3 linked regions of the Coturnix japonica genome follow. The protein of the gene in region 1 purifies or fractionates together with the protein of each later gene. This does not show direct contact. Links are inferred from orthologs where the notes say so. Each region holds a gene or a part of one and is shown in the gene's direction. Other genes may lie near its edges.

The links.
Region 2: the proteins of ATF2 (region 1) and CEBPB purify together in Homo sapiens (affinity purification with western blotting; 3 studies listed by BioGRID and IntAct, with this or other methods). This does not show direct contact. The link is inferred for Coturnix japonica from reciprocal best matches to the Homo sapiens genes ATF2 and CEBPB.
Region 3: the proteins of ATF2 (region 1) and ATF1 purify together in Homo sapiens (affinity purification with mass spectrometry; 3 studies listed by BioGRID and IntAct, with this or other methods). This does not show direct contact. The link is inferred for Coturnix japonica from reciprocal best matches to the Homo sapiens genes ATF2 and ATF1.

What each region holds. Positions count from the first base shown.
Region 1 is NC_029522.1:14,860,609-14,864,256, forward strand, and holds part of ATF2 (cyclic AMP-dependent transcription factor ATF-2), read left to right. Parts: intron 1-280; coding exon 281-399; intron 400-1,521; coding exon 1,522-1,650; intron 1,651-3,648. UniProt on the Homo sapiens protein: Transcriptional activator which regulates the transcription of various genes, including those involved in anti-apoptosis, cell growth, and DNA damage response.
Region 2 is NC_029535.1:12,271,822-12,276,008, reverse strand, and holds CEBPB (CCAAT/enhancer-binding protein beta), read left to right. Parts: upstream 1-1,316; 5' UTR 1,317-1,695; coding exon 1,696-2,682; 3' UTR 2,683-3,690; downstream 3,691-4,187. UniProt on the Homo sapiens protein: Important transcription factor regulating the expression of genes involved in immune and inflammatory responses. Also plays a significant role in adipogenesis, as well as in the gluconeogenic pathway, liver regeneration, and hematopoiesis.
Region 3 is NC_029544.1:195,902-199,549, reverse strand, and holds part of ATF1 (cyclic AMP-dependent transcription factor ATF-1), read left to right. Parts: intron 1-1,152; coding exon 1,153-1,253; intron 1,254-2,255; coding exon 2,256-2,386; intron 2,387-2,986; coding exon 2,987-3,166; intron 3,167-3,258; coding exon 3,259-3,418; intron 3,419-3,648.

The sequences.
Region 1 (3,648 bases):
TTCCCTGGTATCTTCTTGATTTTAAGTTAGAAGAAATCCTTTGTAGCATAAAACCCACTGAGGCTCCTGAATAATTATCTGAATACATTCAGATAGTTTTTACTGTTCTTCAGGTAACCTGTATTATTTTTAGAGAAAGCTATGTATTCATGTAATTACAAATCAATATCTTGATATATTGGTGCTGTCTCCTTTGACTCTGAAAATTATTTACAATGCATCTGTTCTCACATGGTATTTTAAAAGTAAAATCATGTGCTTTGTGTAAACTTGATTTCAGATCAGACACCAACACCAACTCGATTCTTGAAGAACTGTGAAGAAGTGGGCTTATTCAATGAATTAGCAAGTCCTTTTGAAAATGAGTTTAAAAAGGCTTCTGAAGATGACATTAAGAAAGTAAGTGCATACGTGCTTTTGGTCCTGCCGTTCAATTGAGAAGTAAACTTGAATCTATATGTTGTCTTTTAAACTATACCCGTAGTCATTGACCAGCCACCAATGTATAGTCTTCTATGGAGAGAATACAAAGTTAAGATTACTTTTCAGAAGGTTTGTTTACCTGAGTTGGTGTGAGTAGAATGGACACTGGAACACACCCACTATTTACACAGTCTGTTTTGAGCATTTAATGCTCTTTTATGAGGGACTGTCCACAGGTTTAAATGTGCTTTCTCCTATTTCTTCTATAACTTTCTAGTCCTAACTAGTTTAGGGGCCCAAAAGTGTAAACACTTCTCCAAATGAAAATTTTTGTGTCCCCTTTGAATGATTTTTACCATTGGCTGATTATATGCTTTAACTTCCACAGACAGTGATGTTTAAAATTAAATGGACTGTTTTATACATATGTATAAGTTTTTACAGAGTCAGTGTCTGGTTATTCTCTGTGAAGATTTTAGTAGATACTTGTGATTAGGACTCATTCCTGTGCATTCTTGATGAAAACTCACCTTTGCTTTGTGCTCACAGCTGTGCCTAATCTTAGCTGGTGAATGGTAACTTTTCCTAAAATCATTTGCATGATAATACAAATTCTGCTTTTGATTCTGACTTGGTTGTCTGTGAAATTCACCACTTTCTTGGAGGAAGTTACAGTTATCACAGAGTACTGAAAACATTCCAACTACTTTTAAAATTGATGTTCCTTTTCCAAGCTGACAAGAAGAAACGCAATTGTGCCAGATGTCTTTGATAACATTGGATTGCATAGCCTTCAAGTGTAGTGCTGTCCTTCCTCAATTATAACTTTCCTGTGAATCTTGGGAAGGAACTTCATAAAAATTTTTACCTGCAGTGGGAATTCAAACAAAGTCTTAGTGAAAAGCTGTATTTATACAGATGTTGGAAAAAGGAGGCTTGACTGCTAACACATGTGCATCAAGACCTTCCGGATGTCAGCACTTCACTGTTATTATTATAATAAGGCTAATATTTCTCCTTAGTTACTTATATTTTCTTGAGATATTTTAATTTTTGTGTGTGTGTTGGTTTTTTTTTTGTCTACACTGTTACATCTAGATGCCTCTAGATCTGTCTCCTCTTGCAACACCAATTATAAGAAACAAAATTGAAGAACCTTCTGTTGTAGAGACAACTCATCAAGATAGTCCTTTACCTCATCCAGAATCTACTACCAATGATGAAAAGGTCAGGATTCCTTTTTCATTTTGGAATTCACTATCTGAATCTTCTGATGATCTTTGGGTTTCTTGTACACGTTGATACCCATGTTATGTAACTGTTTGAAAGTAAATGACTTCATTAACCACAACTCCTGGATACATACTTAATTTGTTCAATTCTTTAGTTAGCTTTGCTCAGCACAATTTTCTATTTGCCTCACCTTAATTATTCAGTAAAGCTACGAAGGAAGTCAAACTTAGTATTGCTGCTATGTTAAAAAAATTGTTAAAATTGGGCTCTTTATTCTTATTTTATGCATCATCAGGCAGTAATCACAAAAAAGCAAATGAAGTGTAGCTTGAGACTATCCATGTGTACATTTTTGTGTTTATCCTGTGTTTTCTCACCAATTTTTTTGTGCAGCAGCATGGGATGTTCTATAAAAATGTACAGGGGTTGGATGGACGGTCTTTCAAAATTAAGCAGGAAAACTTTGTTTAAAAATCCATGCTCTTTCAGCTACAACAGTATGTTTAAAAGCAGTGATCTGGAGCAATTGCTCATTTAATGTTTACCTGAGGGCTGGGTTTGTGAGTTACTGTCTGTCTCAAGAGAATGTTGTAACTTAATCTGTTTCAGAACTACTGCTCTGCTGGCAGTAGTAGGAAGAAATAGTTTAATAATAAGGTTGATACATAACTTGCAGTGTTTTCATCGTAAGAAATTCTCTTGGAGAGCACAGAATTGAGCAAAGTTAATGAAATGAATTAATTAATGAAGTAGGAATGAAAATAAAAATAATAGGAGCAGAGCTTAGTAAGCAACATGGCTGCTCTGGTCAGTTTTTCTATGTGCATCGTTAGTGGGTAGTCTGCATTTGAGGGACATGGATATCATATTTGCAAAAATGAGTAGACTTCTTTGGGATTACGAGGTAATTCATACTGAAAGGGACCGTAAGACATTTCTATTCCAGCTTCCTGCTCAAAGCAGGGATTAGATCTGAGACTAAGACCAAGAAACTCAGGGCTTTATGCAGTCCAACCTTGAAACTTCCAAGAAGGGAGAATGAACGGTTTCTTTGCTTAATGTGTTCCAATACCAGACTGTCCATGTGAAGGCCATGTTTTTCTTTGTATCCAGTTTACCATTTCCTCTTGCACCACTTCTCTTATCCTCCCAGCAGACGCTGTATGTGACAGAAAGTGTGAGGAGTTTCAGTAGAGAATTGTCTTCAGAAAGCTGTTCTGATTTTTGTAAATTAGCAAAGACGAGTAATAGTATGTTATTGAAGTGATCGTGTAGTCCAAAATAGTAAAACTGGTTTAAAAGAATACACGTAAAGAGCTTCTTTGATCAAGCATATCATAGTCTAAATCTTAAATCTTCTTTATTTCGTAGTTTGGAAAGGTTTGTTTTTGTCTGCAAATAATTATTCTAAGTGCTCAAGTTTTGGCAGGAGAAAATATTAATATCTTATTTTACAGTAGTGGTTCAGTATCATTAGCATCATTACAAGTGCAAATTGTATCTAAATGCCTGGCAGTGCTTATAAACTTATTCATTACGTAATTCAGTGTTGTCACTGTAGCAGTGCTGAAGTGAAAAGCTGCTGCAGCTTAATGTTGTTTTGATGTCTGATTGTAGAGACAAGCTGAGCAAGGATGAGGGTGCTGCTTGGAGTGTGCTGCTGCTGAATGTGGCCTGCAGAAGTTGAGAAATGTGAGCAGAGTGTTGCTGTTTTCTCAGTTAGATTTTTTTATACTCCTTCTGTAGGTGTGTTGAAGGAGGGAAGGTTTGTTTCTACTCTTCAGGGCAGAGCTGGTTTTAAAATTCTATATGCCACCGTAACCATCTCCTTGGCTGAATATGTTTTAGTAGTCTTAAATGGTCACAGCCTGTTAATGTACGTGTAAGAGGGTTCTCATTTTCTTTGTAGTTGTCAGAGCTATTTCTTAGACACTCTTGAAAATTGTGCTTCGTTCTATTTTTAGTACTGTGGGAGAGTTTTCTTAGTTCCAT
Region 2 (4,187 bases), on another chromosome or scaffold:
CCAATTTAATCTCCGGTGCATTCATCAAAGATTAACTTGGAGATAAGGACAGAACTAGAAATATTTGAAGCCCAAAAACCTGTTGGGGTACTTTTGTTATGGAAAGCAAAACCATCTTGAAATGTGCAAAAGAAATGTAAACGTAAAAATATAAGAAAGACAAAGTCTGGTGATCCACTGACATATTTCTGAATTCTTCCTCTTTTCGAAGTTTTGAGGTTTGAACATTATGAACAGTTGACTGTTTGAATCGTATAATGCAATACCTGTTCCTCTGGCTTAACGTTACCATATTTCCCACACCGCAGGATTGCTTCACATTATTCTAAGAGGCAGTGTCATTTTCCCTGCAGTGCTGGGTCTTCTTTACTGAGGCAAAGGACACTCCTACTTCCTTTAATTATATGTTTTGTTTTAAATTAATGTCCTTTATTCTGGGGATGAATCACCAGCTTGTAGACAGGTAAATGTGGGAGTAAGAGAGTGAAAATAAAGTTTGATTCCCAAGGTGGGTGTCTTTAATTAAAACGGACATCGAGATTCCGTCTTCCTTCCCAAACTCACCCCGCGATTCTGACAGTGCCCGGATTCCACGGTTCCGAGCACGTATCTCACTCTCTCTGAGTTTAAAGGAATGCCTTTAAACACGGTCCCCTCTGGCTTCAGACCGCGGATTCCCTGTCGCCTTTGTACCCTGACAGTTGCACGGTATCGTGCAAAGTAAATACACTGAGGCAAACTTCAGTCACGGTCCCCGCACGCAGAGATGGGGAGCGGAGCGCGGCGGCTGCTCGGCTCTGAGCTCGCTGCCGTCAGGATGCGGCCCCGGCTGCGCCCCGCTCCAAACTGCGCTCGCTCGGCTCTTGTAAAATGGTTCTGCCCGCGTCTGAATGGGACGGTTCTGCCTGACAGTGCGGTTCACTCAGTCAGGCGCTGGACGGAGAATAAGAGGATCTGTCTTCTATTTGCAGCTTTTTCCCCCGCTTTGGCAAAAGAGCTCGGAAAAACGCCTTCTGCCTCGATTTCCCCAGGGGTAAAACGGGACCCAGACGGGTTTTGCACCCAATTCTGCGCGGCACACGCGGCCCCACAGCGCCAGCCCTTGCTCTCAGACGCGAAAGGCCCGTCGCGCTGGCAAAAGAGCAGCGGCGGCACCGGAGTCCCGGACCGAGCGGTGCCCGCTTTCCCCGCAGCCGAGGGACAGGGACGGGACGGGACGGGACGGGAGGTCTCGGCCGCCCCGATGCTGGCGGCGGCGGCTCCGTGCGGTCCCTTTCCCGCACAGCTGCCCCAGGGCCCGCACCTCACCCGCACCCGCAGCCGGCGGCGTCCCGGGGGCCGGAGCGGCAGCTCCGAAGCGTGCAGCGTGGCATGCGGCCAGGCGGTGACGCGCCTGTTGCTATGGGATCCACCGCCCCTATAAATAACAGAGCGAAGGAACTTTCCTAAGTCAGAGACTTGAGGACACGGGCCCCGCAACCAGATGGTCCGCAGGAGAACCGCCAGCTCCAGCCGCAGCTCCGGGAGCGGGAGAGCCCCGCCGCGCCGCACGGACTGAGCCGCCCGGGCGGGCAGCGCAGCGGGGCCGTGCCCAGCGCCGGGCTCGGGAGACCCCCACCCGACGGCGGCCGCTCGATTCCGTGCCGGGGGGGCCCTCCGCGCCGTCTTCTCCTCCCCGCATCTCCCTTTGCTTTCATGCAACGCCTGGTGGCCTGGGACGCAGCATGCCTCCCCATTCAGCCGCCCGCCTTTAAATCCATGGAAGTGGCTAATTTCTATTACGAGGCGGACTGTCTAGCTGCTCTCAACAAGCTGCACCCGCGGGCGGCCGGGGGCCGCTCCATGACCGAGCTCACCGTAGGGGACCACGAGAGAGCCATCGACTTCAGCCCGTATCTGGACCCCTTAGCAGCATCCCAGCAGCCGGCGCAGCCGCCGCCTCCCGCAGCAGCAGCAGGGGGCAACTTTGAGCCTGCCTGCAGCAGCGGCGGCCAAGATTTCCTTTCCGATCTCTTCGCCGAGGACTATAAAGGCAGCGGCGGCGGCAAGAAGCCCGACTACACCTACATCAGCCTCGCCCGGCACGGCCACCCGTGCGGCAGCCAGAGCCACAAGCCGGGGGGGCTGCCGGGCTGCTTCCCGCCCCAGATCGTGGAGACCAAAGTGGAGCCGGTCTTCGAGACCCTGGACTCTTGCAAAGGGCCCCGTAAGGAAGAAGGGGGAGCGGGGCCGGGACCGGGGGGCATGTCCTCGCCCTACGGCAGCACCGTGCGCTCCTACCTGGGCTACCAGTCGGTGCCGAGCGGCAGCAGCGGGAACCTGTCCACCTCGTCCTCCTCCAGCCCCCCCGGCACCCCGAACCCCTCCGAGTCCTCCAAGTCGGCCGCCGGCGCCGGGAGCTACTCGGGGCCGCCGGCGGGCAAGAACAAGCCCAAGAAGTGCGTGGACAAGAACAGCGACGAGTACCAGCTGCGCCGGGAGCGCAACAACATCGCGGTGCGCAAGAGCCGCGACAAGGCCAAGCAGCGCAACCTGGAGACGCAGCAGAAGGTGCTGGAGCTGACGGCCGAGAACGAGAGGCTGCAGAAGAAGGTGGAGCAGCTCACCCGGGAGCTGAGCACCCTCAGGAACTTGTTCAAACAGCTGCCCGAGCCCCTGCTCGCCTCCTCGCCCCGCTGCTGACCCCCGCGCCGGGCCGCGGGGCGAGCTGAACGCTGCCCCCCCCCCCACATCCTCCTCCCGGGGCCGGGCCGCGTTTTCGGTTTCGTCGGGGGTTTCGTTGTTGTTGTTGTTGTTTGTTGTTGTTTCGGTCTCTATTTGCTTCCTCCCCCCGGGGCCAGGGGGCGGCGGGCGGCGCGGGGGGGGCCGCGGCCCCGGGGCTCTGCTGGGCGCTGGGGTTATTTAAAACGGCGAGAGGAGAGCGAGGGCGAAGTGATGCAATCCTTTAAGCATGGCTGGGAATGCTGTGTACATGATGCAATCTCGTGTAACTGTCAGTCATGGATTGAGTAATCTGTTAAAGATGTTCCTACAGTTTTTTTTTTTTATTATAAAGAATAATCTATTTCTATATGAAAATACATATGTATATTTTGGGATCTATGCATTCTTGCTACATTTGAAGCATTAATGAACGATTTTAATAAACTTTATGACTAGGTTAAAAAAAGTAGCTTGTTTTATTTTGAGGGTGCGTTTTGAGTCAGATGAAACGCAGGGCTGACATTCCAGCTGGATCTGGCTCGGCGCTGCCAGCAGGGATAGGACTCGCGTTGGTCTTTTGGCTTTCTCTGCGACTCAGAGAAAAACAAAAACAAAAACCCCAAGAGAAACCAGCAAAGAGCAGCGCTGGAGGCTCCAGCCAGTCCTCGCTGTCTCAGTTTGGTTCCTCTAATCACTTGCTTGAGCTGCCACTTGGGTACTGCCTGGGAAGAGGCGTTTGTTTGGGGTGGTGGTTTTTTTTTTGCATTTTTTGCTGTTCCATTTGTGCAGAGCGAGGTGTGCTGTCCAAACCGTGACCAATCTGGTGAAATAACTGCAAGGCTCAAGTGGGAGGGAGAAAGAAAAAGTGAGGGAGGAAGCTTTCACTTAATTCTTTTTTCTTCGAGGAGTTCCTGTTCTCTGAATTATGATTCAGTGTGTCTTATGTTTGTAGTTTACAGGAATAAACATGAGAAAGTAGCGCCTCTATTGGATGTCGGTAATGTGGTCACTGCCCGGAAGCTCTCGCGAAAGCCGCCAGGTGAGAGGCACATCACCAACCCCTTGACTTTCCTCTTGTGATGCTCTTCTCAAGCCTGTAGCTGGAGTTTCTCTGTTGAGAGGTGTTTGTGTGTCTGTTAGCTGGGAGAAAGCAGCTGATAAGTGAGGATGGGGCAGGCTCTGTTAGACTATAGATCAGGCTGGAGCTCTGTTCTGCCTGCTGATGGAAAGATGTGCTGCTGCCGTGCCCTTCATGCTGCTACCAGAGCTCTGTGAGCAGCTCACGGGCTGGTTATGTGCACGGAGCTGAGAGAAGGACTGGGTCTTACTCAGCATGTTCCATTTTCCTGTTAGGCCAACTTGAAGCACTATTTTAAAATCCAGATTCCCAGTGCCCCACAATAGGAACTCCTTAATCGTCTGTGCTGAGTTGAATCCAGAGGAGTTTTTATTTACCAAGAGAGTGGGTTTGAATTTGCTGCAGG
Region 3 (3,648 bases), on another chromosome or scaffold:
TCCATTTCTGTGGTACCCAACTGCTTTGCTTGCTTACTCACTCGCCATGTGATTTTTGCACAAGCCACTTCAGAGAGGTGCCCTGGGGAGCAGCAGCTGAGTCTGTTACAGCTCCATTCAGTTCTGGGCTGCAGAACCCTCTGGGCAGCGTGGCACTGAAGTTACACTGTGAAACGACTGCAGCAGTCCACCCAAGTGAGTGGAAGAGCTGTGCTGAAACACTCTTTGGTTACTCATCCTTTTAGCTGTGCTTATCTATTCATATGACATTCAACTGATTAACCATGAAAAGAAAGCCACTGACACTTCTTTAGCTACCACTGATGCTGTAACTGATAATGGAAAAGAAAACACTTTTCACCATGCTGAAAACAGCTCAGCACCTGATTGACTGGGTTGTCTGGAGCTTCTTTCCTGTTATAGCCTGTCTGCAGGGTCCCCACTGAAGGTACCCTTGTATTTTTGGGTCATTTGTGAGCACTGTGGCCTTGTTGCTGAGAGGGAAAAAAGTCACACATGAGCAACGTGGATTTTGTTGTTTTCTTTCCAGTGTTGGTAGTAGGTTGTGCTTTTTATCTCTGAGGCAGCAGCAGCAGTTAAATGAGGGAAGCTTTTCTCAGAGCTGTGTGTATTCTTGTTGGGGTTTTTTTGCTGGCACACAGATAAGTACAAATACATGTTTTGTTAGCTTCTATTTAATAAAGAGCTTCAAGGAAAGGAATAACACTTGGCAGCTGGCTGAGAGCACAGTGGGACAAGGCTGGAGATAATACTTTGCATATTTACTCCCTGATATGCTTCTGCTTAAATACCATTGTCACTTGGTTCTCAGCTTCTGGTCACCAAAACATACTGCTTGTCTGTCTGCAGAGAACATTTACTTCAAGTGTTTGTACATAAGTGGTGTTTCTGTTTCTCGGCCTTCAGATTATGGTGGGAGAATCTCTCAAGTTTTCTTTTTATAGGGAGTTTATAGGTTTGCATCCTTTGGTTTTACAGTGATGTAAAATTAGCACTGAGTCTAAAAATCCACCATTTTTTCTTTCTCTGTGTTATCAGCTGCATTTATGTCATACAGGACTAACATGTGTAATCTGTTCTGCACTTCTGTTGCGTAGCACACAGGGTAACCACATGGGATGTGTTTTTTAGGTGTCTTCTTTATCTGAGAGTGAGGATTCTCAGGACTCATCAGACAGCATAGGCTCTACTCAGAAAGCTCGGGGGATCTTAGCACGTCGTCCGTCGTATCGGTAAGTGCTGCACACACTTTATTTTGTGCTGTTTCTCGAACCCAAAAAGCAGCTTCTTCTGGCAGGTTCCTCTGTTCCGTCGACCCTTGCATTGTTTTCCTTCTCTTGAAACACGTGTTGGATCTACTCATGCACTGCTCAAATTGAGGATGCCATGTGAGCTGTCCTTTGCTGCAGGGAAACTTTGACTTAATGGACTGGAGGTTGACTTGGAGGTGATGCGGCCCAGGGAAAATTATTTATCAGCTCTGATTTCACTCCATGATGTCATAAATGCAGAGCATGAGTGAGCAGTCTCACCGTGTGCTGACAGAGCCAAAGGTCTTACTCTAAACTTTTCTGAAGTAACTTTCTGGTTATTTTTCCTTTCTCGTTTATTCAGACATTAGACAGAGCAAACTGGTTCTAACTGCATATTCAAGGTTTGTCCTTGAGAGAACAGGATCACGTTGCAACTCAGACAAATCCCTTCCTAGGCCAACTCTAAACCCCTGGAAAAATGTTTGTGGTGGAAACTGTGATGCAGGTCGTACTGAAATGAAATGATGCAGCTGCAGTACAAGACAGACTTCAGTACGAAGTGTTTCTGGCACACTGCAGGTTACTGAAATCTACTCTGGGTGATGCAGGTTCTCACTGCAGGTTTAACAGTCTGAGGATTTCAGGCTTTTAGAGGATAATTACTGAAAATGTGGGATTTGCACTGACCTGCACGTACAGATCTTTTATAAATCAGTAGCTGCCTTGAATTGCTGTTAACTCATGAAATGATTCAGATAATTAAATAAAAAACTTAGAATGTAAAAACTACAGAGATGTAATTACAGAAAGAGTTGGACCTCATGCAGAATTCTGGTAATCCTCAGACTCTTTCCTGTCAAAAAATTAGTGTTCATTTCTGCAATGCAAAATAGAAATAGCAGTTGTCAACTATTACTGCAGTAATTTGTGATCTTTGAATGCTGATACAGCTGATAAACCCTTTTTTTTTTTTTTTAATAGAAAAATTTTGAAAGATCTCTCTTCTGAAGATACACGGGATAGAAAAGGAGATGAGGAAAGTCCTGGGGTCTCTACTGTTACGTCCATGTCTGTTCCCACACCCATCTACCAGACGAGCACTGGACAGTACAGTATGTCGTACAAAATGTGTGCTTGCCTGCATAGATTTCTGCTAAACTTACAGTGAAATACAGACCTGTTTCTTATGCATTTGAGACTAAGATGAAATGCAGAAGTTTTGGTTATTTATCTAATAGTTAATAACATTAGCACAGTTTAGTATCTGAAAGTAGGCTGGTTACTAAAGGCTCACAATAAACTCTTTGTTATCTTAATTTTTTGCACATTCAGACAAGGTGTTCCAAAGATGTTTTTATGAAGCACATAACAGTCTGTTAGATTTAGTCCAAAAGGTGTGATCAGATACCAATGTATATCTGAGAGCTACACGAAAAGGCTCCTTGTGGGACACAGGAGAATGCCTGGAGGACCTCCTGTCCCCCGTGTTCATATGGTGGCCTTGATGTTCATATTGCTGTTTCTCACCTTTTTTTTTTGCTATTGGTCCCAGGGATGGGTTGATTAAAACCCTTCTGAAATCAGCAATGCTTTTCAGCAGTGGGTTGAGGTACAGATTTGCTGATTTGGAGAGATGTACATTGAGCAGCTTTATCTGTGTTTTATAATGTACAGTTACAGATATTTTTCTTGCATGTCCCTTTCTCTTTAAGTTGCCATTGCTGCAAATGGCTTGCAGCTGGCCAGTGCTGGTGCTGATGGAGTGCAAGGCCTGCAGACGTTAACCATGACGAATGCTGGCGGGACTCAGCCTGGGACAACAATCCTGCAGTATGCACAGACATCAGATGGCCAGCAGATACTCGTACCCAGCAACCAGGTGGTAGTGCAGAGTGAGTATGAGATTGGTTACAAGTACTGATCAGTAACACAAGTGTGTTTTGGTAACGCTGTTTTGACATGTTGTGCTGTGTGACTACTACAGCTGCATCAGGAGACATGCAGACGTACCAGATCCGCACCACGCCGACCACCACGTCCCTCCCTCAGACCGTGGTCATGACATCTCCTGTCACCCTGACATCACAGTCCAGTAAGACAGACGACCCGCAGCTGAAACGAGAGATAAGGCTGATGAAGAACAGGTATGTGAGTGCACTCGGGCTGCCTCGGTTGGTTCACTTAATGTGCTGAGATCACAGAATGTCAGGCATTGGGAGGGACCTCTAAAGATCATCTAGTCCACCCCCGTTGCTGGAGCCGAATCACCCAGATTAGGTCACACAGGAATGTGTCCAGGTTGGTTCTGAATGTCTCCAGACCCCACGACCTCCCTGGGCAGCCCATTCAGTGCTCTCTTACTTTTTTCTCGTGT